7 linked regions of the Cricetulus griseus genome follow. The protein of the gene in region 7 purifies or fractionates together with the protein of the main gene of each other region. This does not show direct contact. Links are inferred from orthologs where the notes say so. Each region holds a gene or a part of one and is shown on either strand. Other genes may lie near its edges.

What was found.
Region 1: the proteins of Stk25 (region 7) and Cttnbp2nl purify together in Homo sapiens (affinity purification with mass spectrometry; 6 studies listed by BioGRID and IntAct, counting the BioPlex papers as one, with this or other methods). This does not show direct contact. The link is inferred for Cricetulus griseus from reciprocal best matches to the Homo sapiens genes STK25 and CTTNBP2NL.
Region 2: the proteins of Stk25 (region 7) and Sike1 purify together in Homo sapiens (affinity purification with mass spectrometry; 4 studies listed by BioGRID and IntAct, with this or other methods). This does not show direct contact. The link is inferred for Cricetulus griseus from reciprocal best matches to the Homo sapiens genes STK25 and SIKE1.
Region 3: the proteins of Stk25 (region 7) and Proser2 purify together in Homo sapiens (affinity purification with mass spectrometry; 3 studies listed by BioGRID and IntAct, counting the BioPlex papers as one, with this or other methods). This does not show direct contact. The link is inferred for Cricetulus griseus from reciprocal best matches to the Homo sapiens genes STK25 and PROSER2.
Region 4: the proteins of Stk25 (region 7) and Ppp2r1b purify together in Homo sapiens (affinity purification with mass spectrometry; 3 studies listed by BioGRID and IntAct, with this or other methods). This does not show direct contact. The link is inferred for Cricetulus griseus from reciprocal best matches to the Homo sapiens genes STK25 and PPP2R1B.
Region 5: the proteins of Stk25 (region 7) and Cttnbp2 purify together in Homo sapiens (affinity purification with mass spectrometry; 3 studies listed by BioGRID and IntAct, with this or other methods). This does not show direct contact. The link is inferred for Cricetulus griseus from reciprocal best matches to the Homo sapiens genes STK25 and CTTNBP2.
Region 6: the proteins of Stk25 (region 7) and Cab39 purify together in Homo sapiens (co-immunoprecipitation; 3 studies listed by BioGRID and IntAct, counting the BioPlex papers as one, with this or other methods). This does not show direct contact. The link is inferred for Cricetulus griseus from reciprocal best matches to the Homo sapiens genes STK25 and CAB39.

Annotation. Positions count from the first base shown.
Region 1 is NW_023276806.1:51,981,250-51,984,190, reverse strand, and holds part of Cttnbp2nl (CTTNBP2 N-terminal-like protein), read right to left. Parts: intron 2,548-2,941; coding exon 1,069-2,547; 3' UTR 1-1,068. UniProt on the Homo sapiens protein: Regulates lamellipodial actin dynamics in a CTTN-dependent manner. Associates with core striatin-interacting phosphatase and kinase (STRIPAK) complex to form CTTNBP2NL-STRIPAK complexes.
Region 2 is NW_023276806.1:53,975,613-53,980,162, forward strand, and holds the start of Sike1 (suppressor of IKBKE 1), read right to left. Parts: upstream 2,999-4,550; 5' UTR 2,698-2,998; coding exon 2,539-2,697; intron 2,351-2,538; coding exon 2,245-2,350; intron 1,258-2,244; coding exon 1,115-1,257; intron 24-1,114; coding exon 1-23.
Region 3 is NC_048596.1:223,303,414-223,308,183, forward strand, and holds the start of Proser2 (proline and serine-rich protein 2), read right to left. Parts: upstream 2,891-4,770; 5' UTR 2,616-2,890; intron 1-2,615.
Region 4 is NC_048597.1:162,638,494-162,642,515, reverse strand, and holds part of Ppp2r1b (serine/threonine-protein phosphatase 2A 65 kDa regulatory subunit A beta isoform), read right to left. Parts: intron 3,750-4,022; coding exon 3,635-3,749; intron 3,196-3,634; coding exon 3,125-3,195; intron 2,871-3,124; coding exon 2,736-2,870; intron 1,077-2,735; coding exon 903-1,076; intron 1-902. UniProt on the Homo sapiens protein: The PR65 subunit of protein phosphatase 2A serves as a scaffolding molecule to coordinate the assembly of the catalytic subunit and a variable regulatory B subunit.
Region 5 is NW_023276806.1:208,097,294-208,101,850, forward strand, and holds the start of Cttnbp2 (cortactin-binding protein 2), read left to right. Parts: upstream 1-1,376; 5' UTR 1,377-1,485; coding exon 1,486-1,566; intron 1,567-4,557. UniProt on the Homo sapiens protein: Regulates the dendritic spine distribution of CTTN/cortactin in hippocampal neurons, and thus controls dendritic spinogenesis and dendritic spine maintenance.
Region 6 is NC_048595.1:437,527,497-437,531,518, reverse strand, and holds part of Cab39 (calcium-binding protein 39), read right to left. Parts: intron 2,954-4,022; coding exon 2,785-2,953; intron 1-2,784. UniProt on the Homo sapiens protein: Component of a complex that binds and activates STK11/LKB1. In the complex, required to stabilize the interaction between CAB39/MO25 (CAB39/MO25alpha or CAB39L/MO25beta) and STK11/LKB1.
Region 7 is NC_048595.1:445,072,776-445,076,797, forward strand, and holds part of Stk25 (serine/threonine-protein kinase 25), read right to left. Parts: intron 1,374-4,022; coding exon 1,143-1,373; intron 1-1,142. UniProt on the Homo sapiens protein: Oxidant stress-activated serine/threonine kinase that may play a role in the response to environmental stress.

The sequences.
Region 1 (2,941 bases), on a different chromosome or scaffold from region 7:
AACTCCAAACATACAATCACACTAATATTTATGTGCTTAAGTGTTGAACATGTAAAGGGGCATGTAACTATACAGATATATGTATACTTCCATTTGGGCAGAAGTTAATTTGGTTCCACAGTTACAAGTGCTGGCAGCATGGAGAATAAATGTAACAATTTGGTAAAACCTGTATAATTCTGACCTACAATATTACAAAGAGTGACTTTTAAGTTATTGCTTTTTGATTACAGAATAAAGAGCTCATTAGGTCATTTCCTATTCAAGTAAAAGCAACCAGAACCAGAAGTTCCCAACAGTCGATGCTTGAAGGTGGTTTGGAATGGAGATGTGATTTCACTCTATTCTAGAACTGATGCAGGAAACTGAGAATGACTTAATTTTTCAAAAGTACAAGAAAATCAGCACCCTAACTGCTTAGTGCTCAGGAGGGTTTCTCAAGGGCTTAATGAAGCGCAAGGCTCAGCCTGGCAGAGATCACGCCCCTTTAGAAGGATTTCCACTCCACGTATGCAAACCTTGGTTTGGAACACAAAGCTGGTATTGAACAGTCGGAGAGGATTAAAAGCAGTGTTGGCTTTTGACATTCAGATTCAGAGGATCTCATTTTCTGCAATAAATGCTCTGTCTTTCGGCTCTGCCGGAGAATCACATTCATGTGGCAGTCTTATTTCAGGCACTTTTAAAGCATGTTCATCTGGGATAAAAATCTGCATGAACTGCTTCTGCATAATTTGAAATGAGTGCTGAGTAATTCTAGCTCCCAAACTGACAGCAGATCACCGCCAATTAGCTATCTCCATCACAACATGCTGGTGACTGCTGAGCTTGAGATGTCTGTGGGGTCCCCTTCTAGCTTAGTACAAAGAGGTGAGTCATAAAACCCAAAGTACTCAGTTTCTACTTAAAAAAAAAAAAAAAATACAAAAAGGTAAATACACTGAATGTATTATACAGATGGCTGTAGCTACTATCAAAATAAATAATATGATCTGACTCCAAGGTTTAACTCTGAGCTCTTGGATGACATCTGATGGAATGTCAAGTGTGGAGACTCACTCCAAGGGACTAGCTGCTGGTGGGCAAAAGTATCTCAACGTCTTTGCCGTTGGCCACCACAGCACTGGGAGAGCAGCTGCTGGCAAGGTCTTCTGTACTGGTCAAGGATGATGCCTGGGAATGGGTTTTGGTCACTGCAGTGGCCGCAGATTGGGACGGGGTGAGGCCAGGTTTTTTTGGGGGGATTGGCGGAGGGTTTCCTCTCTCGGCTCTGGGTATGGTTGGGGACTTGATTCCTGGAGATAGGGGGCTCAGAGGGCTGGACACTTTCCCTGGAGTAGGGGAATGGCTGGTGTCACCTCTTGGGTTGGCAGTGTTGGCCAGATTTCGGTAGTCTGTACCGAAGGGAGAGCTGTTGGGAGAGACTGGCTTGATTGGCCCTTGGTTAGTGAATCTGGAGAGCACCTGTGTGACCGTGTTTCGGGCCAGCTGCTTGGCAGCAGAGTTGTCTAAAAGGGTAGGGGACAGGTCCCTGGACGGAGGGCTCTGGAGACCACTGGCTTGCTGGTCTTGGTCTGCTTGCGATTGAAATTTGTGCCGAGCCGCGTGGAAGCGCTGGTTGATCCCTACTTGGTAGGAGGACTGGTAGCCGGGGCTGCTGACTGATGACCCCAAGAGACGCTTGGTTAAAACTGGTGAAGAGCAGGGAGATGACGTCAGAGAGGAGGAGGCAGTGCTGCTGGGAGACAGTGAGCTGCCACTGGAAGGGAGGTGACTTGGCATTGTGACTGGAGTTTCAGTTCCTACAGGACACCCACCATTCTCCATTGGTTTCTCCTGGGCCGATGCCACAGACTTCTCTCGTGGAGGCCCTTGGTTTTCTGTGCTGCTGCCTGAGGTCAACTCCCTAGCAGTTTGGATTTCTGGGTCACAGTGGCCATTGGCTTTTGCATATGAGTAAGCAGGAGTGGTGGGGCATGGAAGACCAGTGTCTGTCAGCTTGGCTATGATGCTCCCGTGGCTTCTTTCCATTTGAACATTCTCTGTTTGGCAGAACACAGACACTAGCATGGGGGGCTCTGTGGCTGTGCCTTTGGACGTGGTTACTGGCTCTCTGCACTGCTCACTGGTGCCACTGTGCCGCTGGGCAGCCTCGAGGTCTCTCACAAACTTCTTCAAGTTTTCCATTTCCTCCTTCAGGGCTCTGGTCCGGTTCTCCTCTCGGTTCAGTTTGGCTCTCAGCTGTTCCCTCTCAATATCAAACTCAGACAACTGCTTCTCCACCTGGGCCTCTGTCTGCAGGCCTCGCTTCCTCTCAGCGGCCAACTCCTCCTCCAGCTTACTCACCCGGCTCTTCTCCTTCTCCAGTTTCAGGCTCAGCTCTCCGGCCTTCTGCCCTTCCTCGGCTGCCTTGCTGGTGGCCTTCTTGCACTCAAGCACGAGCATGGACGAGAGCTGCTTGTGGCGGGAGCGCTCCTCTTCCAACTGACTAGACAGCTTCTTTTGTTCTTTTTCAAACTTTTTCACTTGGGACTTTTCAAATTCCAACTAGAAAAAAAGAAGCCACCACACATCTTGATTAGAGTAGGAAAACAAAAGGATGCACTGAAAATTATGATCATGTAGAGTGCCCTCGCTAGCTGCTCTCTGGTGCACACTCGGTATTAGCAGGAACGCCACGGTGCTTAGGTTAATTAGTATTTTTGAAGTATGAAAACATCCCACACAGAACCCCCACATACTATGATTTAATCATTTCTTGATGACTTGGGAGGCATTTGAGTTCCTAACTGCCTCAGGGTGAACAGCGGGAATATGATGCACCATTGTGTTTTAGGTATGTGGAGAGAACATAGAATCAGCCAAAACAAATAACAGAACACTATGTAAGCTAGATCTGGGGATGGATGCCGCTGAAAATCAAACTTAAAAGTTCCAGCAA
Region 2 (4,550 bases), on a different chromosome or scaffold from region 7:
CTGTCAATCTGACTTTCAATCTCCTGTGAAAGTAAGATAAAAAAAATAGTTTTTAGTTATTAAGACCATGAAAAGCATATGCATTATGAATTTTAAGTCTATTAAAAGCCTTGCAGAAATAAACTGGGAGGGGTTCATTTAGTACATACTATAGAAGTTACACTTCAATTACACTATCTTTTGAGCCACAATAATTTAAATCTGTGGTACGTCAAATAATTTCCATTTTTCTAAAGACCATTTGACACCCAGGTGCCAGGTGTGGTGGCACATACCCATAATCCTCGTCCTTGGGAGGCTGAGGAGAAAGGATTAGGAGTTAAGGATTAGTCCAAGCCAGCCTGGACTAAATGGGACCTAGCGTCCCCATCCCCAAGTAACAAAACAGACAATAACTCAAATATTTAGATATTTAAAGACATCCCAGTTCCCTAAAACTTGTAAGTCAGTAAAATCCACCTAATGGAATGGGAGATGAAATGTAAATTGTATCTTTCACTGTAGTAAATAGTAGCTTCCAATTTAAGAACTAAAAATTAAAATACACAATACATGCAAATATATAATAAGTAAGCACTGTAGAAACTAAAAACTAGTTAGTTTTTTCCAAATTAAATAGTAAGCAACTAAAACTAAAATAGAGGAACTGCCACAAAATGAACAAGACTCCCCGGTAACATAATGTGAATAATTTAATGAAATTAGTGACTACTTGCTATGTGGAAGATATGGATAAAACTGAACTAATGCCCTCAACACTACAAAACTCATGGTTTAGTAGAACATACAAGTAATCAGCAAAGTATTCACGGAATGCCTTCAACGCTAGCTGCCATCTTGCTTGCTATCTAGCTTGCTATGTAGTCCAGGTTGGCCTACAACTCTAAACTGTCCTATCTCAGGTTGAAAAATAGATGTTGGTGAGAGAGGTGACACCATCCAAAAGGATGTGAGAAGCCCCCGTCCCCTTCCTTTATTCATATCTTCACAAAGCTTCAGTCAGATAGAGTGACTATGAAAACCATGAAAGAGGAACATGCTTTTCTGCAAACAAAACAACAACTCAGGATTTCAGTTTGGTTTATTTATAATTTATGTATCAGGGTTTCCTTACTGCAGAGTGGGACTGGTGAGCTTTCAGAACTGGTTCGGTATCCACTGCTTTTTTAGCAATCATTAACTGTAACATCTGTTTCCGGTACTTGCTCATGATGAGTTCCAAAGCATCCTGGTGTTCCTCCAAGGAAACCCACAGCTCTAACAAAAAAGCAAACATCTGGGCAATGATGTCTGTAACAGGTCTCAAGGCAAACCTCCTAACAGCTGGGGCTTTCTGATACTCCATGGGATATTGTGAATCCAAACTTGGAAATTGGTATTCCAGCCCACAGAAGTGAGTAAAGTCTATCTGAAAAACAATTTTCTAGGCAGTGGACTTTTGTAGAAGGAAATGGGATATGTAATCATAAGACACAGATTTGAATTCAGTTTTCTCATTTACTTGCTTAATTAAGACTCAGAAGCAAAATGAGCCCATTTAAAAAAAATATTATCACATTTTGTTGATTTGTGTGCAAATACCACAGTGTACATGTGTGGTCAGGAGTCATTTCTCTCCTTCCAATGGAATTCTGGTCCTTAGGCTTGGCTCTTCAGGCTGGTGCCATTACCTGCTAGGCCATCTTGCTGGCTCATGTGAACCTGTTTCTTAATTGCATTGTGTAAACACTTGGGTTGTGGACTTCAAAATGACAACAGGGGATGGAACGGAAGGTGTAAAAAGGTCTCTGCAAGACAACTGCCATACTGTTGTCATTACCAACCCGAAGAATGTATATTCTGGAGACAAAGTTCAGCCTTCCATCTTGCCCAGGAACATTAAAAAAAAAATAGATAAATAAAAAAAAAAAACCTACTTCGATATTAACTTTAGTGTTCACTCTAACATATATCAGAAATTACATTTTGAGACTCTGAATTTTAGTTATATAAGCCTCCATCTGGTATGTGCCCACCCCAACCACCAAACAACTCAACTCTACTAAACAACTCTTTCAAACTCATCTTTCAAAGACTTAAAAAAGAGCAACCTAATAGACTTTATTGTTACCAGATGACCCTCTTAAGCACTGACCTTAAGCACTGACCCTAGTTATGAGATGTGTAAGCTTATGAACTTATTCAGGCACTTGTGTAAGAACGTTCAAAGTATTACTAGACATACACACACACAGCCCGACTAACCTCTGTTTTCCTGCTGCAAGTCTCTAATCTGGGTATTCTCTTGAGACAGCAGAATGTGAGGTTTATATTTAGACATGTCCTTCACGTCGGGTGCATCCTCTTGATACTGGACAGAGAGACTGATTAAGCCGCTGCAAACACAGCAGGTGCTGCAGAGGCGGCAGCAGTCCCACCCATTCCACAGGAAGCTCTCAAGCCCTCCCTGTCCTCCGCACCAGGATAATTAGACGGTGACCCCACCTGCCCTCTCCCCGCAGCGCCCACCGCCCAGGGCGCGGCCCGACCCGGCCCGACCTGCTCGGGCAGCACGGCGCCCGCCTCCCGCATCGCCGCCACCCGCCGGTGCAGCGCGGCCGACTGGTCCACCAACGACTCGGCCGCCGCATCGTGCTCGCGCAGCCGCTCCAGCAGCGTCTTGGCGTCGGTCAGGATCTTCTCGATCGTGCAGCTCATAGTGGCCGAGGACGCCCGCCCGGCCCGCTAGCCTCAGCGATTCGCTCAGCCCTTCCCCAGTTTGAGATCAGCGCGATCGCGTCACTTCCGGGCACACTTTAAAGGCGCCTGGGCAGCCTGGTCGGCGTCTGCGCAGTGGCGGATTCGCGGTAACTCAGGCTTCGCCGCAGATTTTCTTGGGTGGAGCCGCAGAGGTCGACTTGGTCCCAAATTCTGGTTCTTCACGATGTTACAGCTGTTCCTGTCTCAGTTCTCCTTTTCTTCTGGTTTTGATGGATGTGGTTTGTTATTTAGTCATGGGTTTTCAACAAATCGATGAAACAAACACCTCCCCCCCCCCCCACACAAGTGAACACACACTGGAACCTCTCACTTTCTCCCTCCTCTCTTCCTTCCTCTTTGTCCTTCCTCTTCCTTCCCACCCCTTCTTCCCTTCTTACTCCCCTCCCCTCTCTCCTGTCTTCCTCCCTCCCTCCCTTCCCATTCCTTTAAAAGGTGAACAGTGACTGAGGTTGTCCTCTGACCTCCACATACTCAACTGCACCTGTGTATACAAATAGCGTGCGCGCGCGCGCGCGCGCGCGCACACACACACACACACACACACACACACACACACACACACACATTAGTATTTCAGGTCTCAAATCGAAGCTATGTTTTGGGATGCTGTCAATGCTTTAAGATTAGATTATGAGGACTGGGACTGTATGCAAAACTACTGAAGGCTACACTTACCAGTGTGGCAGTGGACTTAGGGATGTGGCACCCAAGAAATATAATGACACACAAGTGAGATGGCAGTTCCCTTATCTAATAGAACACACCCAAGAACTGTGACTCGCTAATGGATAGAAAAGAAAAACAGTATGGATTCCAGATCGCCTTTTACCGGTTTATTGTCTTGGGATGCCATAGAGAGTAGAGGGCAGGGGACTTGTGGGAGTAAGTGGGGAAAACAGCCAGTGATACACTAAATTTTAGTTCAGTATGCAATATAAACAGGCAGGTGGTAGTGGTGCACATGTTTAATCCCAGCATTCGGGATGCAGAGGCAGGCATATTTCTGTGAGTTCGAGGCCAGCCTGGTCTATAGAGCAAGTTCCAGGAACTTGCTGGGATTAAGGGCGTGCACCACCATCGCCCGGCTACAAATTCAATTTTTAATAAATTGGAAAAATGAATTAGGTAAGTTTATTTGCTTCACTTCTCCCTCCCTCCCTCCCTCCCCCTCCCTCCCTCCCTCCCTCCCTCCCTTCCTCCCTCCCTCTCTCTCTCCCTCCCTTCTTCCTTCCTTCCTTCCTTCCTTCCTTTTCTTTCTTCTTTTTGTTTTTTGAGACAGGTTTTCTCTGTGTAGCCCTAACTGTCCTGGCACTAGTTCTGTAGACCAGGCCTGCCTCTGCTTTCCTAGTGCTGTGATTAAAGGCATGTGCCACCACTACCCCGATACTTTTTTCTTTATAAAACCTTTTGGGGCCTGCAAGAAGGCTCAGTGGGTGAAGGTGCTTGCCTGAATTCTATCCCCAGGATGCACTCATAAGTTGACCTCTGTGCCTAAACCCCTATAAATAAATAAATGTTAAGATTAATTAATAAATAATAAGTGAGATTGCTCAGCAGTTAGAGGTTCTTGCACACAGCCCGACAACCTGAGTTTTGACTCCTGGATTCTACAAGTTGGTAGAAGAGAACCATGCCCACTGGTTTTCCTCTGACCTCCACCAGACACTTGAACTAACTCTATCCCTCCTTCTCTCTCTCTTTCTTTAAATAAATAAATAAATAAAGCTTAAAAATTGTGAGTAGTTTTGTATATGTGGGGCATACTGACAGGGTTATGATTTCAATTTGCT
Region 3 (4,770 bases), on a different chromosome or scaffold from region 7:
GACTTTAAGATGATAAATTGTATGTAATTATGTACTTTATATTTTACAATAAAAAAATGATAATTGGACTGGTGAAATGGCTCAGTGGGTGAAGGTGCTTGCCACCAAATTGACAATCTGAGTTCTAAACCAGAAATTCACAGAGTGGAAAAAGAGAATCCATCCCTGTCAGTTGTCCTTTGACCTCTACACTCACACTGTGGTACATACACATGTATGTGCACATGTGTACACACACATAAAAGCAACAATAAATGCAATGGACATTTTTAAAAATGAGAACCATTTCAGCACCTGGGAGGTAGAGATAGGTGGGCTAGGAGCTCAAGGTCATCCACTGTCAGGTACCAACTTCAAGGCCAGCCTAGGCTAAATGAGAACCTGATGGGGGCAGGAGTGGGAGATGCGAATCAAGTTTTCCCAGTGCTAAAGTATCTAGTATGATGATATCCATTCATAAGAGCTAGCAAGTACTGCTCCAAAATGGTGGGATGCTAAGTCGCACAGAGCATGAGTACAGTTCCAGCTCTCATTAAACTCTCTCGAATGTCAAGACTGGGTGCTGCTACTCTGAGAGGAGACAATGGCATTACCGAGAGGAGAAACTTCACTGTGCTTCTTCACAGACAGGCTGTTATCAGGGATGTCACTACATGCAGAGAAGGAAGTCCCAGCATGGTAGAGGCACTCAGAAAGGGGACGGAGACAGCCTGTCCTCTGTAGGGCACCCATGAGGAAGCCTTCACCTCACGCCCAGAAAGTGCAATGGAAACCGAAATGAAATGCTGCCCTCGATTATCAAAAGTGCTCGAGTTCTGGGATGCTCCTAGGATTCCCCTGGCACCTACCAAATGGTCTTGATGCCACTGGCATTCATCCCGTAACAATGCAGATAAGATGCACTTGAACTTTCTGTCCAGAGGCTTCCCTGTGCTTTGCTCTGCTCCACCCAGGGCTTTCACTTCCCTCCCTTCCATCTCAGGCTCTGTTCTGCCTCTAGTAGTCACCCGAGCTGATCTTCAGATCAACACAAGGTGCCAACTGCAGGCTCCTGAGGTGTCTGAGAACTTTGGAATCAAGGCCAGGTGTCTTGTCAGCCACTGACGAAGGCACGGTTACCAGATCTGGTTTTAATCAGTTTGGACCATATGGCCCTTATCTAGAAATTCTTGCATGTGCAGTGAGTGGTTAAGTCAGGGCTCAGCACATAGGAGATGGTCAAACAGACTACAAACATAACGATGAATGAACGACTAGCTAGCTACACCAAGGCCTGCATTAGAACAGGCCAATCCCTCTGCAATAAAGAACTATAAGGTCAAACAGACTCAGTTATTTTCAAAAGCACAACTCCTCTTTATAACTGCCACTTACTCTAGTTTCAAATTTCTGGTTTCTCTGAGTAGAGAAAATGTACTTTAAAATTATCAGGAGAAGCTCATTGGAGGCAATGTTAGAAGGAGCCTATCCAGCCACTGAAAATGAGGCCTTTACTCCGTCTGGGCAAGAAAACACACAAGATTCCATACATACACTGTCAAGCCTGGCAAGAAAGATCTTAGCTGACTTCCACCCTTCCCACCCAACCCCAAGTAAATAGGGCATTTGTTTGTATTTCCACATTGGCTGCACCAACGAAAATACCTCCTCCACCTAGAAAAACAATCTGGAACATTCAGGCTTGGAATATGAGGGCAAAGTTTCAGCACACACTGGAGCACCTCACAGAAAATTATTTTTCATACAGGTCTGTTCTGCAAGCACTTTCCACAAGTTTACACTTAATACCTGGTTTCGTGTTTCTTGATCGCTCAGGGACAAAGCTTTTTGTTGTTATTGTTGTTCTTTATTACAATTGGAACCAGAAAGATAGCAGGGCTTGAAAATTTTACTCTGGGCTGGGCGGTGGTGGTGGCCGCGGCGCAAGCCTTTAACCCCAGCATTTGGGAGGCAGAGGCAGGCGCACCTATATATGAGTTCAAGACCAGCCTGGTCTACAGAGCGAGCGCCAGGATACGCTCTAAAGCTGCACAGAGAAACCCTGTCTCGAAAAGCAAAAAAAAAAAAAAAGTTTTTCTCTGTTTGGGGGAAACACATTCCTTTACACCGAATAGGTTCAGGCAAAGAGTTAAATGCTGTCCTGCGGCTAAGTGGCCGGGGTGGGGGTGGGGGGGTAGTGGCTTAAATTTAGAATCTGTAAAACAATGCAGGGAAACTTTCCGTCTTGGAGAAACGCTGCCGTTTGACTGCCTTTTGTTAAGCCGTGTCCCATTAGCCGTGTCCCATTCAGTTACTTGCGAGAAACTGGCGGGGGCACGGAAACCTACAGAAAGATTCGCGCAGGACCCCGGTTTAACAGGTGGCTCTGACCACCTCCCGGGTCTCAGCCTCTCAGGGGACACGGTCCCCGCGCGCAGTCGGGCGCCGATCCCCTCCCCAGGCTCTGGGAAAGGGCAGTGGGGACTAAAGCCTGAGAGTCAGGGACCCAACGCACGCAGACTACACGCCGTGAGCCACAGAGCGCTCGCCTTCGGGAAAACCCTGAGGTTTTCCTGAGGAAGCCACGCGTCGCGACCCCTTAAGACCGGGGATGAAGGCTATTGGGTGGCACTGACCTCGGCGACGACGGGCGCCCCAGCTGCGAGCAAAGAACTTCTCCAACTTCAGAGACCTGGACCCGGTGCCCTCGATGATCCGGACAGCTGCTGCCGCGCCCCTCGGCCGGCCTGTCCCAGCTCAGTAGGGTCGAACTCACCGAGCCAGGTCCCCTCCGTGGGCCGCAGGTGTCCACGCCGACTGCGACCCGGAGCGCTCACGCAGTCCACCCGTCTGCAAGCCGCGCACACCCGCCGACTGTCCCGGACGGCTCGCCGCGCGCTCCCCGGTGCGCCCGGCACCTCCCCTCTGCGCGTTCACTGTCGTGCGCGCTCCCGCCACCAGGCGGCTCGCTCCGCATCTCTGCCGCGCGTTCCCGGCCTCGGGACTCCAGTTATTCAGAAGTACAGTGCGCGCCCCCGCGATATTTAAAGGACCAGAGCCTAAAACCCCTAGCTGCGCCTTTGGCCACCTTTCAAGGTCTTCTTTTACTTATGAGACTGAAATAAGGGTTAACCATGTGACATCGTTATGCGGATGTGCTTTTGAAGTCCTGAACGAAAGGGGACTTCTCCACCAACTTTGAGAGTTTCATTCGTGTTTGTTTTTTGAAGCAGGGTTTCACCATTCAGGATGACTTCAAATTTGTGATCCTCCTGCCTCAGCTTCCTGACTTCTGGAATTACAGGCATTCAACAGCAACACTATCTTGGAGAGATTATTTTCATTTAATAATAACAACGGCAGCCATTAATGAAATACTTATACTCTCAGACATGTGACAAACATTATTTCTTTTAATTCGTTTGGACAGTGCTTATTTTATTTTTTTCCTATTTAATTTTCTTGGGGGTAGATCTTTTGTTTTTGTTTTTTGAGAAGGGGTCTCTCTATATAGCCTTGACTGGCCTGGAACTCACTATGTAGACGAGGCTGGCCTCCAATTCAGGGAACTCCATCTGCCTGGCTGGGATTAAAGGCGTGTGTGCTACCACACCCAGCTTTATTTCTTTTTTAATGAACTTGTAAGAGCTGCATATGTTTGTGAGGTACTTGTGGAATGTTCCTGTACTCGTGCATATTGAACAGAGTTTTTTTTTTTTTAATCAGAGTAAACATAGCTACAGCTCCTCAAATAATCAATTTTTTTCTATGAAAAATCTCAAGATCCTCCTTGCTTTTTTTTTTTTTTTTTTGAGAACTTTGGTTTCTTTTGGTACAGCCACTTATTTATTTACTCATTTGTGTGTGTCTTGAATTGCTTCACGAACCTAAAGGTCATAGGGCATTCTTCAGAAGGTGGTGCTTTCTTGCAGCACACAGGCTAAAACTTGGGGCTCATGGCAAACGCCTTAACCTGATGAGCCATCTCCAGGGCCTCGTGCTTTGGTTTCTTATGGTCACTTTACAGAGAAGGGATATTGAGGTAGCCAAGGCTGAAGAAATGCTCAGCTTTTGACCCTGCAGTTTGTGTCTATGTCTTTTACCACCAGAAATATTTCTGAATAGCTAATAACAACAGCTAATTGTGGGAGCCTTTTGTAAGTGGGTGGAAGTTAGTGTTACTGGTGAGAAAGCCAGGGGCATGTGTTTTGTTAATTGGAACGACAGCCATTGCAACAATCTATATTCCCAGAATGTTTGTGTTTATACCCATTTCACAGAAAAGTAAGGAAGTGGCTGGCTGCACAAAAAGACTGGCTTATAGGCAGCTGTCAGGGCTGAGTCCAATTCCTCGGTCATTAGATCATACCTTGGCCCTCCCCAGGAAGAAGAGCTACCTGATTAAAGGGAAGAAGACGTTTTCTCTAATAACACATTGGACTCACCTAGCTCCCTGCATCTTTAATTAATGTTTACAAAGCACTTTAATCTGCCCAACATGCTAGTTAATTAAGCAAGTATTATTATGCCCCTCTTTCTGAACCAAATCCAGAAGAGAACCTAACCTGACAGTTCCCCATCCTTGATGAATAAAGATCCAAGATTTCCATTTCTGTTGGGTTTTTCTTTGTTTGTTCCTCTCACTCTTTGTCTTGTATTGTGTTAGGTGTGTGAATGCATTGATCATTCAGTGGCTTTTTTAGAGGTATATAATATTACATGCTGTAGATGAAAGGTAAAATGTAATATAGGTAATCCTTGTCTTTAAGAAAGCATGTCAGAGCCAACGTG
Region 4 (4,022 bases), on a different chromosome or scaffold from region 7:
TCTACAAGATTCATGCTCACAACACCAAAATTAGCAATATGATGCAGTGGTCAAGAAAATATGAACCCCATATGTTGTGATCTGAAAGGAATAGAAACAAGCCTCAGGGGCAGGGGACAATAGAGTATACTAATATCAGCAGTTATCTGATATTATGAGCATTCTTAAAAACCACACAGGTCTCCTTTCTTCATCCAACTAGTGAGAAATGCCAAGTGTCTAATTAATAACATGCACTACAATAGCCACTGGAAATGAAACACCACACAGCTCCTGTGCTGAGAGCAATCACTCATCCATCTCCCCAGCCATACATTCAAGAACTCTTTAAGCCCTTAGAGTCTAGGGGCTACCATGGTGTGAGGGCCATCGAGCTTCTCATTGTCTGTACCTATTGAGAAAGAAAGGGAAGCATGTGGCTATAAAGTCCAGCTTTGAAATTTTAAATTAGTCATACTGATTAGAATAAAATTAATAATGAAACCCAAAGAATAGCAGACAGTGTGATAACAGGACTTTATCCAAAACAGTCTGCATTATAAGCTCTTTGTGTGGTGGATCCCCAACTATATGTCATCAGGAAAATGCTTCTAAGTTCATTTGCTTAGGACAGAGTCGAACAAAAAGCTGAAGTGACTCATCCTGAAACCGTATGTTCTTCCACAGATCCAAATACACTCTACACCTTTATCATGAGGAGGGCAGCAAGGTGAGTATGTCTCTAGAACACCCTTCTGTTAGGCCTTACTGCACTACTGAAAATAAAAACCATTCCACAAGCCACAAGAATTTACCTCAATGCCTCTAACTGAACCAGACCAGACTGACAACTGGCCTCCCACTCACCACGCTCAGCTCCACAATCTGACAGACCCTACTGCTCACAGAGCCCATGAACTCACCAGCTGGCCTGCCAGCAGCGGCATATACTCAATGATAGCCAGGCGGACCCTCCACTTGGCATCTTCAGCCAGTTCCACTATGGCAGGAAGGAGAGACTGAGAGAGCTGACGAATTCCAATCACTTCATTTACACAATCCAAGTTGGAGATGATATTCAAACGAACTTCAGGACACTATAAACACAAAAGTCCAAAGACTACATGTGAAAATGAACTCCTTTGCCCAGTACCCTCATGGCATGATAAAATAAAAAGTGCTAAATAAAATTCAGTACGGACTCAGGCTTAAAAAGGTGTGTGGGGGGGGGGGAGGGGGGACACAGAGCTGAGATATGGTTTCGTGGTAAAACATGTCAGCTAGCAGAGAGCCCTGGGCTCAAAAGCCAGTACTGACCAAAAGAACTACAGGCAGAAGGAAATCTTAAATGCTAAATACACAGATAATCCAAGACACAATGCAACTGATCTTAACCAGAATGTCAGAAAAAGCCTATGAGATTTCATTATTTTGTACACCAATTTTAAAAAATAATAAATTGGCAGGCAAGATGGCTCAGCAGGAAAAGGCACTTGCCTCATAAACCTGGCAACTAGGATTTAAACCCCAGAACCCATGTAAAGATGGATGAAGGATAGACTCTGAGTTCTGCATGTATGTACATGCATGCACACGGACATGCACAATAAAGTTTTTTAGACTTTTAGTTAATAAATAAGCACAAAGTCTATGAGATGGTAAAAAGCCCAGGCCCTGAAATTAAATTCTATGTACTCAAATCTTAGATCTGCCACTGCTTGGAGACATCATCTTATCTCCCTGTGCCTCGCTTCCTCAGACACATCTGGGAGTAACCCAAGACCTAAACCTACTGGTGCAATTACATTTACTGGCATTACAAAGCACTCAGATCATGCCTAGCACTAATTTTTTAATTTCTCCTTTGGGTATATGTATTGTCTGTGTCATGTGGACATTTTCTATGTGTGTGGGTGCCCATGAAGGACAGAAGAGGGATCCTCTAGAGCTGAAGCTACAGGTAGTTGTGGGACACTCAATGTGGATGCTAGGACTGGAACCCCGGTCCTTGACAAGCAGCAGGTCTCTTATCTGATGAACCATCGTTCCAACCCCTATATGTTAATATCAGATGCTATATTTCAAACCTTAAATAAAAGACACTGTTTAGGCTAAGTTATATTAGGCTTTAAAAATAGGGAACCAATGAGTATAATATAAAAATTTAAAAGACAGGTATTTCAGGGTGGTTTTAAGACTTATATGTAGGAGTGTTTTGCCTGAATGTATGTTTTTGCATCATGAGTGTGCCTGGTGCCTGCAAAGGTCAGAAGGTGGCATCCAATCCTCTGAAACTAGAGTTGTGAGCTGTCATGTGGGTACTGGGAACCAAACCCAAGTCCTTTGAAATAGTAAGTGCTCTTAACTACCCATACACCTCTCCAGCACCTAGTTTTTTTTTTTAGTTGGTTTAAGTTGGTTTTGGTTTTTTGAGACAGGGTTTCGCAATATAGCTCTGGCTGTCCTGGAAATTGCTCTGTAGACCAGGCTGGCCTCGAACTCAGAGATACACTTGCCTCTGCCTCCCTAGTGCTGGAATTAAAGGCAAGAGCCACCACATCCAACTACGTTTGTTTGTCTTTCAGTAAGTCCCTTGTGCTCATTTTTGAGAACTGTAGCACTATACTCCAAGAGGACTGTCAAATATCTTTAAAATTATGGTTTCTTCCCCCATCTATACACTTTAGGTCCTATATTTCAGTAAAATCACATCAAATCAATGACATCAAGGCAAAACAATTCATAGCCAGACTCACCTCATCCTTTAACTGAGCTAAAAAAAGAGGCAGAAGATGTTCAATGGTATTCTCTTTGCCCAAAATTGTAGATAATCCCATAATTACAGAAGCTAGAGCTGACTTCACATGTTGATTGGTATCAGACACTAATTCCTGAAACAGATTAAAAATTAAAGACAACAAGTCTCTACACCACCTCCCAAGTCAACAGCAACAGAGTAGCCGACCCAGACACCCCCTGGTAACAAACCTAAGCACCCACCAATAGTGTACAATTATGACATGCACAAATAAACTCTAAATATTGTCACAAATGTCATGTATTTGACTCATTTATGCCTCGTCCTTGTTAAAATGCTAACAGCTTCATAGGCAGAGTAAGCAAAATAAAATGAAGTCACATTCACCTTTATATAGGGCAGGATTTGAGTCATAATTATGGTCTCTCTACCTTCAGTGGGCAAGTTCTCACAAAGTTCTGAAACAGATAAACAGAAAATGCAATGCTATCAAGGAGCCAACGGAAGTTAACCAGTCTTCCCAAAAGTTCCAAGTTATATTGCATGTGAAAGCAGACAAACTCTAATGGGAAAAATGAATCTGCTGCTCATAGCATGGTCTAAATGCCCGGTGTCGCAAACTAGTTCAAAGGAAAGAAACAAGATACAGCGGGTGTAATGTGTCCTATGAAGCAGCAGCTGCATGCTGACACCATCTCTGTCTGCAACATCTTATCAATTCAAGCTTTCCCAAACTTCCTAACATGACAAACACCTCAAAGTGGATGGAAATGCTGTGACGCAGACTGATTTTTTTTTCCTGATTTGTACATTTTCAGTACTATTTTCATAAAAACACCACACCAAAATCACATCAAATCAAGATATCAAAGTCAAAGGAGTTATAGCCGGACTCACCCTTTACTTTGTGGGCAGCGGCTGCTCGGACCTCAGCTTCACAGTCCTTAAGGAGGCTCTGGAAGGCGGGGATGAGGTCATTGAGTGTGATTTTAGGGCCCACCGCTTTCTGGAGCTAAAAAACAATTTATACAGGTTTAATGTACACTAACAAAAACAGTTAATAACAACAAACTAATACAATCTTCAAATGTATGCTATAACCACAACAGGCTGGCAGGCATGAATGGCAAACACTTTACCCACCAAGCCATCTCACTAACCCCAAAATAGAAAGATTAATTGTCTTCTTTTTTAATTTTGATTCTATATTCAAAGCTATTCAATAGAATGTGTAAGCTGTATCTAATAGAAAATCTGCAGGGCAAATGCCTTTGAGGTTTTCAAT
Region 5 (4,557 bases), on a different chromosome or scaffold from region 7:
AAGCAATTTCAGGAGAATATTCGATTAAATAAGAGAGTTGTGTGATGAACAGGAGTACAAACCGAGCCTGGCCACCTGAGTGAAGCCACAGAGAATAAACAAAGGAAGCCCTGAATCAGGATGACCTCCATCTGCTTCCTAAAATCTGACCCTTAACCTCAGAGTTTCAGGTGGAAGTTTCCTTGACCTCTCTTTTGAGAGCAAACTTTCTAGATTTTGCTGACCAATTCTTTCCAGTGTCTTTGTAGAAAAGGTTTTCTCTGATGTGTCATACTTGGATCCAGTTTGGAAAGCTGAGCAGTTAAGGTGTCAGAACTTCTCATTAGGAGCAGGTTGTTTTGTTTTGTTTTAAAGGCTTTGATCTGTGCACTTGGACTGAACATTCCAGTCATTCATCTTCCAGAATTTCAAGTGTGGGATTGGGTTGTCGGTTGATTTGACTGATTTGATGACATCACAGAGACAGTTTGAATGCCTCCATTTGATTTTGTGCTTTCAACACATCTTTAGGGACCTGGAACTTTAGGGACCTCCTTACCATATGGTCTCAGCAAGGTGATAAATTTTCAGATTCTGGGAGTTGGCAGGAAAAAGTAAGAATGGAATTAGAGGCAGGATGGGGGAAGTTAAGTGTCTTGGCCTAACTCATTCGTGCTAACTCCCCAACCATGCATTTCCAATCGACCATTTTGTCAAAGGTTTGTGTGTGTATATTTGGGTTTTCACCTGCACGGAGAAGTTGCTGTTCTCACAAAAGTATTAAGACATCACTGATACTTGGTGGTTTTTCTGGATGGACCCCTGGGGGGGGGGTCTCCACCTTCCTTAAAAAGAGAATCGAACAGAAAGGCACCTAGCTGAGGGGCTTAAAAACAGCAAGGCACAGACTTTCAGCGGAAAGTTGATCGTTTTAGAGGGTGAGCATCGAAGATGCGATTAAAAAAAAAAAGCTGGGTGTATATAAATCAAGAGGATAGAAGTGTTCAGAAGGCAAGAGTTGGGAAATATTAAGAGAGGCACCTCGATGGAGCTAGTCGAAGTGAGGGATGATGGTTCCTCGACCGTAGATCTTAGATTTAGCATCCAAGGGCCTGACATCCAGTTCGGTTTGTGTCCTGCTAAGTCAAGAGTTTGTCAGCCCATCGCCTCCGGAAAGGAAGCTTATTTTCTTTTGCATCCTGGGGTGTTTGTCTCCCCAACACCAGCTCAAAGCCACGCGGCTCGCTTGCTTGCTGGTTCTTGGTCCCTTGGGAGCGGCTGCTGCAGGCTAGCGGGTGGGCGGGGCGCCGGCGTCTGCAGCGCGCAGAGGGTTAAGCGGCAGGGGCGGTGCGCGCGGGAGGCGGGAGGGGGCGGCCGGGCTCCGGGGCTGAGAGCGCCGCGGCCGCAGCCAGCAGCGGGTTAAGCGCCGCCCGCCCGCCCGCCCGCGCCGAGAGCAGAGCCCCGCCGCTGCTCCGAGCTCGCATTCGGATCCGCTAGAGCAGGAAGATGGCGACGGACGGCGCGAGCTGCGAGCCCGACTTGTCCCGCGCCCCGGACGACCCGGCGGGGGCCACGGCGGAGGCCGCGGTAACCGAGTTCCCTGGGCTCCGGGAACGGTGTAGATGCGGGCTGGGGGTGGTGCCCCGGTCCCCGCCGGACACTCCCCGAGGGATGCCCGGTGCTTCCCTGGAGTGCCCCCTTACTTCCTCGGGGTTCCATTTCCTTCTCCGAGGTACACCTTCCCAGGGGTGTCCCCTTCCTTCTGGGGTGCCCCCTCCCTGGTGTGCCTCTTCTCCTGGATGCCCCTTCCTTCCCCCGGGGTGTGCCCTTCGGATGTCCCTTCCCTGGGGTGCCTGCCCCCAAGGCCAGAAGCGGATTCGAGTAGCGCGACGCTACCCCCGCCGCCCCCGAGGTGCTAGGAGCCCGTCGGTCCTTCTGGAAGCTCCCCGCATGCGTCCTTGGGGACCCCTTTGCCCACTGCTGGGGTGCTCACGGAGGATCTCAACCCCCATTGTTCAGCTCCGCCAGGCACCGAGCAAATGCTAGTCTCGGGGTGCCTGACACCTCTTGGGAGACCTGGGGAAGCAGCGAGGGAAAGGCGACCCGTCCGTCGCCAGGCAGGTGTGGAGATGCTCTTTGTGTGCGGGGGTTCGTGTGTCTCGGGGGGGGGGGGAGGACGCCCCGTGGGAGAGGCCCCGCGCCCAGCTGTGGGTGCTGCTGCAACTGAGCGCCAGCACTTTGGGTCCTAGCTGCCTGCTGCTCCATCAGTCATCGGTAGGGACCTTCTTCCCCAGGCGGAGTGGCACTGAGCTGGGGTTTCCGAACCTGGTGTCAACACATTGTTCCTTTCCCTAGCGTCCTCTCTTGCTTAGGCGCCTACCTGCTCCCTTTTTTGGTACTCTTGAGTTGTCTGCACGCACAGACGCTCCCCGGTGGTTCCCACTCCCTCTGTGCCCCGCTTGGGGGGTCTCAACCCACAAAGCCAGCTTGGAAAACGTTCGCAGGTCTGGGAAACAGCTTTTGCCAGAGCGGCAAAGATGTGCAAAGAAAGGCAGGTCTAGGAGCGCCTCCCAGTCTTGGCCAAATCCCGCAGCTCTCTCGGAAGATTCTGAGTGGGACCGAGGGAGCTGAGCAGCCTGGCATGGACGCCCAGGTCCGTATCTCCCATCTCCAGAGCCCAGACCCGGGCTGGGCAGGACCAGGTGTAAACAACCTGGGCAGTTTAATTCCCTCCCCTCTGGAGGGAGGGCTTGCTAGGAGGAGAAGGCAGGGGTGTGGAGGAAGGTACCTGGAGGCAAGAGCTGCGAGAGGAGAATAGGAGGGGTCAGGTACTAATTCCCATTGGTGAAAATAGAAGACTCTGGGCTAAAGTTTTGGGAAAAATAGCGGGTTTTTTTTTCTAATAAGAACTTTAAAGATATTTCAAATGAAACCTTTCCACTTGAGAAATACTTTCATTCTGAGAGTCGGGGACAACGAAGAAAATGGCTATCAAAGCAAAAGTCCCTCTGGGAAGCTGAAACTATTGAGTGTCCTGTTCTCCATGAGGGGGAAAGTGGAGGTGTGGGGGTCGCGCTCCTTCTCCCCCCAGGAGGGTGGATAGTTTGTTTAATCTACTTGGAATACACAGCTTTGTGCCCACAAGATATTTCGGCCACCAGGCAAACCAACACAAAGCATGCAGTTTATGATATGTAAGACTGTAAACAAAATTGCATCGTCAGGAATACTGCTGTGCCAACAAGGTCAGTGTTGCTGTCGGCTGTTTAAAATTGTCAGGAGCCCGATTCAAAGGCTGCTAAGTTGGCAGCTTGATTGTTCTGCTTTGGTTGAGGGAGAATAGCCAGGCAAAATCTCACCGACTGGGACCTCCTCCGTTATTCCCAAGGGATCCCTTAGGCTTCAAATCTGCAGTAACAGTGCTAAGGTATTTGAAGTAACTGTCTACTTTTAAGAAAGAATGTGGTGGCTTTTTATTCAGTAAAACTGGACTTCATTGTTTACAAGTAGTTGGACTTGAAATATGGGGACTCTTATGTTAGCTACTTGAGTAAACTGGCATTTTTTTATTATTTTGAGGATCACATGTAGCTAAAGCTTATCATGAAATCATGGTTCTCCTATCTCTCTGCCTCCTGAAGGCTGGGGTTAGTAGTCCTTACCACCACCCTGCCTGGCTTTGACTTATTATTATTATTATTATTATTATTATTATTATTATTATTATTATTATTAAAGAAAAGCTAATTAGAGAAATCCTGTTTGTCATACTTGTTCTTCTTCTAATGGTTAAAAATTAAAACTATATTTTGCCAACAAAGGACTTAATATATATTTTTAATTATAGTGAGGAATTCTCTTTTTGCCTCAGAGAGATTTATTTCATTTCAAATTGGTTTACGTCTTGTGGAATTTTATATATACATTTGGCAGAATCAAGCTAGTGAAGCCTCCAAAGCAGTTGGCTATTTTTGAAAGTGCATGTTTTTAGAGGGCTTTTTAAAAATTCTATTTAGATTGTTGCTTAGGAACTGGTTTAATTTATAGTTTGCAGTTTAATATAATTTCCAGTGGAGTGTTTTAAATTTAGTTTGTTATCCTTGTTCTTCACTGTTTAAATCCTGAAAGCACCTCGAGTGTAAAGCTGGCTAACAGCTACATTATTCAATAGGATCATATTAATAGTGTGATCCATGCCGGGAGCCTGGGTTATTTTCAGTGCCTTAGCCAAATGGGATGACTTTTATAGGCCATATTGCTATTTCTGCTCAGAATACAACTCTTATGGTAGGCAGTATGGAAAACAGAAATCTGCTTTTTATTGTCACTGGAATTTGGGAGTGAGAAGAAAATGGAGATCCACTTACAGCTGTATTTAGGGAGGTGACTAGCATTGTGTTCACTCTGGGCTTTTGGGATTAGCTAATATGCAAAGTGTAGGTATAGATTTTGCTGTGAGAGTGGAAATCTCGGCATTGTTTCCACTGAAAATTGTACATTGGTGTTAAATTTAATGACTGGCACCTGGAAAATTTTGTCTTCTAGGTAACAGCATTGGATGTAAACACAATAAAAAGG
Region 6 (4,022 bases), about 7.5 Mb from region 7:
GAAACACTCTTGAGACCTGTCACAGGTGTAATCTCAAGCTCCAAGCTCTGCTGGGTTTTCTGGGGGAATCTACGCTCTTTTTTTATTCTGGAATGATAAATATCTGTTTCTTTCATCCCTCAAAACAAACCCCCAGTCACTAGCAGGTATTTGGCCATCTGGTTTGCTAGCTCAGTGTTCAGTCAAGCTCTGGATCCGGGACACCTTTAGAAAGGATGGTTTTAGTGTGAAGACACAGCACCTGTTCCACAAACTGCATGTGTCTGAAAACTGTGCAGAATATGTTTTCTCAAAGCTTAACATGCAGAAAGCCACCTCTGTAGCGAGATGCCAGCCAACAGGAAAGGAGGAGCCCTGCTTACTTCTCACGGGCACCTTTACTGTCCCTCAGGGTGGTCCTCCTGCTCTGACCAGAATTTCCATCAGGGAATAAAGTAGCTTGGATCTGTCTGGTACTTGGCTAGTCTGAGATCGGATGGTAGTCTCTCTTCCTTGCACATGTATAGTCCACGCTCTGTTCACTATTAGGAGCCTCTCATGAGCTCTCCCTTTCTGTGTCTCCAGGAACACCGGGATCTAGAGCCAGACTGGCTCAGAGCTTCTTCTGGAGCAATTCATCCTCTGAATACCAAGTGGTTTTTGAAATGCATTTCTTCAAGGAGAGACCACCTGCCTAGCTCTGCCAAATCCTCCCCTTTCTTGCTACCATAACCTGGCAGGACTGTGTTACCCACAGTGGCTCTATCACCACCATCTTCTCCTTGGGGAGAAGCAACCCTGGCTGAGATGAAATTACCAGCAAGGCCACACAAGACCATCAGATATCACACTTCTGGCATGTAGCCAGCACGTATCTCTCACCCTGGAGCCAGTTTGGCCATCTGTGCCAGCAGCATGCCATCCATGTCCTCCCTGTGGTCAGGGGGCTCCCACACCACTGCTGTTCCTCAATCCTTTCCCCTCACCCTCCTGTGCCCAGAGTACTGCCACTCTCGGGTTCCTGGCTGTCTCTCTGCATACAGGGTTCTCTCCTTGACTTGGGTGCTACTACACCTCCCTTCATGCTGGGTTGCTGTTCCTGAACGGGGCACCCCCTTCCATCGAGGCATTCTCATGAGTCCTAGGTATCACTGAAGTGGTGGGGTAAGACATCATAGTGATCACTCTATGTTATGATCTCAAATTCATTTCACTTTGCTTTGTACATGACAGTTACATATATGTATGTAAGGTTTCACCTAAAGCTTCTGTGGAGGTTGTACTGACTCTAGGAGATAAATCCTTGGCACCACTAAAACTGTGACATTATTCTCAGTCAGGGTGAAACCCTACTGGCCAGTCCCCAGGCTTTCATCTTGTCCTAATATATTCAGCACCCTCACATATGTACTTTACCCAGAGACCAAGTCCTTACCTCAGGGGCTCCTTATTAAAAAGCTGAGCTCTTACAAGGAAAGTGAGCTTTTTCTCACTGTGTATTCATTGCTTCTGTGTGTGAGTGAGCTACATGTAAGTATATGAAACCCTAATTCAACAACTTTTAAGGACATTTAAGGAAATGCAATACATCAAGATTTATTCTCATTGGGGAAAAAAAGAAAATACAAGATTGCTGCTTCATTCATAAACAGAAGCTTGCAACTAAAGAAACTGGTGGTCACATGTACATTCAGTATATGCAACTCCACAGGGAGGTAAGTTGAGGCAGAGGGGATGGGATAGGGAGGCAGGAGGGATGGTCCTGTTCCTCTGAGGTGACTCAGTTATGCTCTGCCGTGAGGAGGTGGGCATGTCAACAACAGTTTCTCCATACTAAATATGGTTCTTGTATTTAATAACATATATTCCAAAAACATGGCCTCTGAGCAGAGGCCAATATACATCACCGTGTCTAGTGCTAACCAAAGGAGTGCTGCAGAATGCCCATTACAAGAGAAAGCCTGGCCGTTGGGTATTGTGTATGTTATCTATGCCATACTTAAAAGATAATTTAACAGGAAAGTACAATTATAGTAGTAAATTACCAATACGGAGTCAGGTAGAAATATAAGGGTATTTAATATGGAAAAGCCTTACTTACAGAGCGAACCAGCCAGCCGGTGGTAGTCTGTACAGCCAGAAGCAAAGAGAAACCGAAACCGAAACGCAGTCCCCCTACTCACTCTGACCACGCCCTCACAAGCCCTCAGGTACTCCTGTAGCCAGCCCCTAAGAAGGCGTGGCTACAGCTTCCCCTACAATTCCCCTTTTAGTCTAAAAGAGGATTAAAACTTAACAGTATAAAGGTAAAATATAAGAAGATAACTATCTATTTTAACTAAACCCTAAAGTCATCTGAAAGAGGTGTCCAAGCCTGAACACCTCCTTCCAAACCGAACCATAAACAATAGGAAGCTATTCCTAACAAGGTATATACACTATCCTAAGTGACAACAATGGGGAAAGGGGGCGTAGCATTTTCCAAGTTACTTCCTGCTGAAATGGGACGATGATAGTCATGTGGGGTCCTGTAGAAAGAAAATGTTAGTATCCAGTCCCCTACATACAATTTTGACCCTAGAGGACTTTTGCCTTTCTGATAAGATTTGAGAATTTAATTTAGGCTGGTTTTTTTTGTGGTTTTACTACAAATACCTAAAACATACCAACACATATAAAATGCATCTCTTCTACTCCCACTAGAGGGCAGTCATGTATAGAGTAGTGGAGGAAGACAAAGATTGGGAAACTGCAAACCTGATCTGACTTGCAAGTGTGTTTAGAATTCAAGTCTTTAAATGTTACCTTGAACGTAGCAAATGCATCTGAAGCTATGTCAAATGTTGACATTTCAACATATCTGAAGAAATCATAAAACTGTTCCGACCATAAAATGATTTTTGCAAGTGGTTCATGTCTGATGCACTCTCTTAACATTATTCCACAATTAAGAGCTATTTCTGGAGATTCATACCTGTAAAAACAAAACAAAACAAAACAAATAAAAGCCATATATGATTGCTCTTTTGAAACAACAAAATGAGCACATCAAACTCTCTCAAAGTGTCACACATTTCTAAGTGACCACAGCAGGTTACAAAAGGTATTTCCTCTAAAGAGTACACAGCAAAGTCTCTTCATGTGGAACCTACAGCTATGCGCAGAGATGGACAGTTACCTTCAATTAAGAAAAACCAGCTATGGCAGGGACCACAAGAATACAAGTTCTATGTTTGAAAAGATCTAGAAGGAAGTGCCAGGGTCAGCTATCCATGAGCGCTTTTTTTTTTACCCACCATGTTCACAACAACCAGAAGAACCACAAAACTGAATAAAAGAGTAATAGAGAATTCCCTTTCCAGATTCAGGAATTCAGTTTAAACATAGTATAAACACAGCTCCATCAAATAAACAGCACTTACAACAGTACTTCCAGACTCTTGGAAACATGCAAATCCCAAACTGCAAGCCTCATTCTAAGATTTTTACAGAGCATATCCATCACAGAGAACCTGGGGACCCTAAGAGTACACAGTGGAACCCAGGACCCTGGAGCCTTCTCACCAACTCTTCAAACACAGCCTTTTTCTCTGTTCTCAGCACCTCTTCCCTTGTGATCAGAGAGAAAACCTCACAGTGATTAGGGCCACTCCTTCACAAAGCACACTGCCTTTCACAGGCTGACGCCTGCTCACACAGGCTGCTCTCATCTTCCACACTACACACATTGGCTCTATTGCTTTCCCACTGACAAGCTCTCTTAAGGATTTGTTGTTGTTGTTGTTTTTTGGTAGTCAAACAACATTTCCCAATACTCTAGTTAAATAATTTTTTGGCCAGCAGAGACTTTCTCCTGGCTAAAACAGAACTAAGATCCATCTGTGTAATGTTCTGATGGTGCTGATCTTTGCTCGTCTATCTTTTGTCTTTCTCTTTTTGGTTCTGGTGATCAAACCCAAATACTGGGTAAGTATTCACTCGGCTATACCCCACCCAGCACTATCCTTCTCTTAAAAAATAGGGAAGAAAAACTCCTCCCAGTT
Region 7 (4,022 bases):
GATACATGTCAGTGCCTGGGCAGCAAATGAAGGAGGCATACCCAAGTGTGCAGTCCACAGGCCAAGTTCCTCTAACTCCACCAAACGATGTCAGCTAGGGGCTCAGGCCACACAAACTATACCAGGCTAGTTCCTGCCAGGAACCCCAATAGGAAAGGGTCCTAGCTGGGCAAGGTAGTAAATGCCTATAAGCCCAGCACTTAGGAGATCAGAAGTTCAAGGTCAGATTGGGCAAGGAGACCAAGTGTTTTTCAAAGGGGGGGAAGGGATAAAGAGATGGCTTGGCAGTAAGAGCACTTGATGCTCTTTCAATTCCCAACACCAGCAGCATGCGGCTCCTGTTCCGGGGACATCCACCAACCTCTTCTGGCCTCCTCAGGCACGCACGTGTACACGCGCACGCACGCGACACATATAGGTAAAAATAATAATAAATTAATATTTTTAAAAAGAAGGGCCAAGCCAAGCATGGTGGCACATGCCTTTAATCCCAGCACTCGAGTGGCAGGTGGCTGAGTTCCAGGACAAACAACTACACAATGAGACCCTGTCTTAAAAACAAAATAACACACACACAAAACCAAACAAAAAAAGGAAGCATACACCTTAATTCCAGCACTTAGAGACATAGGCAGATCTTTTGTGAGTTCAAGGCCAGGCTGGTCTGCAGAGACCCTGTCCAGAGGAAGGGGCAGGAGAAAAGGTCTTACTGACCACCCAGCTACCATACCTCTGGTACAGGCACTTGGTGGACAGACCAAGTGCCCAGAGCAGTCACTAAGTCTTTTTCAATAGCCCAAGTGCCCTCCTGGCAGACCTCCACAGTACTGCCAGCAGGGACCCCTTAGACTGTACCTAACAGCACCCACAGATAAGACAGCTGGGTCACTATGACCACTTTAGAGCCACCTGACTCTTGTAGATTGTACTTCTCAAAAGAACAGACTTTTTTGTGAAGCTGAGCTTTGGGGTAAAGGGGAGCCTCTTTGCCCTTCCAGAGGGATCCCCATGTGCCCAGCAGTGCCTTTCTCTGCTCTCCTCTACCTTGGGTACATAGTAACTCCTCTGGAAACAGGACAAACCCTGGCACAGAGCCTTCAGTGCCCCCCCACTCCCATAGATGCCCCCTCTCCTGGCAGCACCTTCAGGTAGGAGCCGAAGTAGCGGGTGATGTAAGGGCTGTCACACTGGCTGAGCACAGTGATCTCCTGCTGGATGTCCTCAATCTCATCCTCTGCCTCTTCCAGGTCAATGATCTTGATGGCCACCACCTCCTTGGTTTGGTTGTCGATGCCTTTGTACACCTCCCCAAACGAGCCCTTGCCAATGCGGTCAAGCTTGGTGAAGAGTTCCTCTGGGTCCACACGAGAATTCTACATAAGCCAGAAGGGACAGAATGCTGAGACAACACCCACTAGAGGAAATACTAGAAGAGGGCTGACTGCTGACTGAGGGTCTGGGCCACTGCAAGGAGCTAAAGAGAACTCACCTCAATCCTTTTCTGGCTTCTTTATCCCTTGTCCAGAAAACCTAAATGTAACTCTCCACTCTCCAAGTGACACTATATTCAATAGACTTGATACAGTGAATCAAAGTATCTGTAGACTCAACTCAAATGTATATTTAGAATCAAATGTATTAGCAATACCACATCTCAAAGTGCCTTCTTCAGTTGTCTAACAGAGAGCCAGGCCAAGACCTATCAGGAATGACAGGTAGGAGTATGTGCGTGCCAGAGGGTACTGTAAAACTCATTTTACTATAAATCTAAAACTGTTCTAAAAAAAAAAAACAACAAAGTAATGGACTGGAAAGATGGCTTGGTGGCCAAGAGCACACACTGGTCTTACAGTGTGTGCTCACTGCTACAACCTTAGCTCCAGGGGATCTGAGGTCTCTGGCCTTGGAGAACACCTGCACTCACATGTGCATAGCCCCAGTAATTTAAAAGTAAAATTCATCCAGGCATGGCGCATGCCTTTAGTCACAGCACTCAGGAGGCAGAGGCAGGCAGATCTCTGAGTTCAAGACCAGCCTGATTTACAGAGCTAGTTCCAGAATTCCAGATAGTCAGAACTGTTAAACAAAGAAACTCTGTCTCAAAAAATCAAAAACAAAACGAGAGATTAAAATTTAGCAAAGCTAACTTATGTTTTCCATACTTAAAGTGCCTCTCTATTCTCAAATTAGTCCTCTAGCCAGCTACATTCTCATACCAGTACTGAGTTGAACACTTTCTCAGATGTTTAATTCTAGATACTAAACACAGAAGCATTTGTACCTAATATAAGTCTCTGGGAGTTACTTGGGACCTTAATGTGGTGGCGGGCGGAACTCAGATGGCCTGGTGGAAAGCGTCCACATGGCAGCAGGACTCAGGCAGCTGGGCGTAAAGATTTATCATTACAAGCTACCCTAGACAGCCCTCAGATTTAACTAGGATCTTATCATTGCTGAACCGATCATGTTGAAGATGAGCCAGGATGGCAAAGGTGTGTGCTCTGTCCAAACCACGCTAGGTTTTGAATCAGGGCTGCCTCCAGAGAGGAAAGAAGCAGAAGAGCCTCTCCCAGGGCCACCACTGAATGTCCCTACTGTGCTACCTGGCAGACTGGAAAAGAACATGTTCTCCATACCACTGGCCACGCTGGCACAAGACCTCAAAGGGGAATGCTGAGTCTCATCCAGGTTTTCAACCATGCTAAGTTTCACCTCCATTAGGAGATGGTCACCCCAAAAGGATGTCCCCCAAACAGTATTTTGGTGCCTGTTAAAAGGAACCCAAATCAGGCGGGTAAGATGGTTCTTCTGGTAGAGGCACTTGCTACCAAGACTAACAACCTGAGTTTGGTTCCCTAGACCACATGGTGGAAGAGAACTGACTCCCAAAGCTGTCCAGTGACAACACACATGCCATGGTACACACACGGAGAGGTGTTGTTTTGTTTTTAAGGGGGGGACCATGGAAATAACTCAGTGGCAGAGCACTTGCCTAGCATGCCCAAGGCCTGGAATTCAGCTCCCAAATGGGGGGGTGGGAGGCCGAGACACAAAAAGGCAAAACCACACTTATTTACAACTGTCTAAGTACTGATGCGCAAATCCCTCTGCTTAGGGAAGAGCCTGTCCTAGGTGTTTACCATGTTTCTAAGAAGCCTGTCCTCCAAAACTGACATAGCTGCCTGATTCCCTGAAGCCTAACTGCCCCAGCTTCTTCTCTGCAAGCAAAGCAACTGGTTTCAGACCCCATCTGAGACAAAATTGCCAACTAGCTACATTCTTAAGGTTTTTAACCGTGAAAGAAGTAAAGGGAAGAGACAGAGGACCACACTCCCCAGCCCTCGACAAGCCAAGAACTGCAGAACAAGATGAGGTGAGCAGAGAGAAGTTCGGGGAAGAACTCCAGGCACAAGGGCAGTGTCTTAACACAGAAGTCACCTAACCCCTCTAAGCAAAGCTGCCTCCAAGAGGCCCGAGTGTGTGCCACAGTGCCATGCCTGGCCCAGAGCAGGCACTCTGAGCAGACTAGCTGTGGTGTCCGTATGTGCTCTGGTTTGGCCAGGGGGCTAGAGAGATGGCTCGGTAGTTAAGAGCACATGGGTTTGGTTCCCAACAGCCCACGTGATCTCAAGCACTTCCCACATGTGATGCACACATGCATACATGCATATACTCACACATACACGTAAAGTAAATAAACCTATTTTTTTTTTTAAAGAAGATGACGACAACAAAAAAGAAAAAGGAAGGAAGGAAAAGAAAAAGACCAAGACCAGATGGCTCAGTGGGTAAAAGCACTTGTCACCAAACCTAACAACCTGGGTTTGATCCCTGGACCACATGGAAGGAGGAAACCAATTTCCATAAGTGGTCTTCTAATATTTACACTGTGGTACATACATACCTACCCATCCAAAAATAAATGTAATCATTAGAACTGGCAGCCAAATCCTAAGACCAGTTCTCACTGAGCAGCAGTAGATGCTTGGAGCAGAACTGCAGCCTGAAGTCCTGAAAGGCCA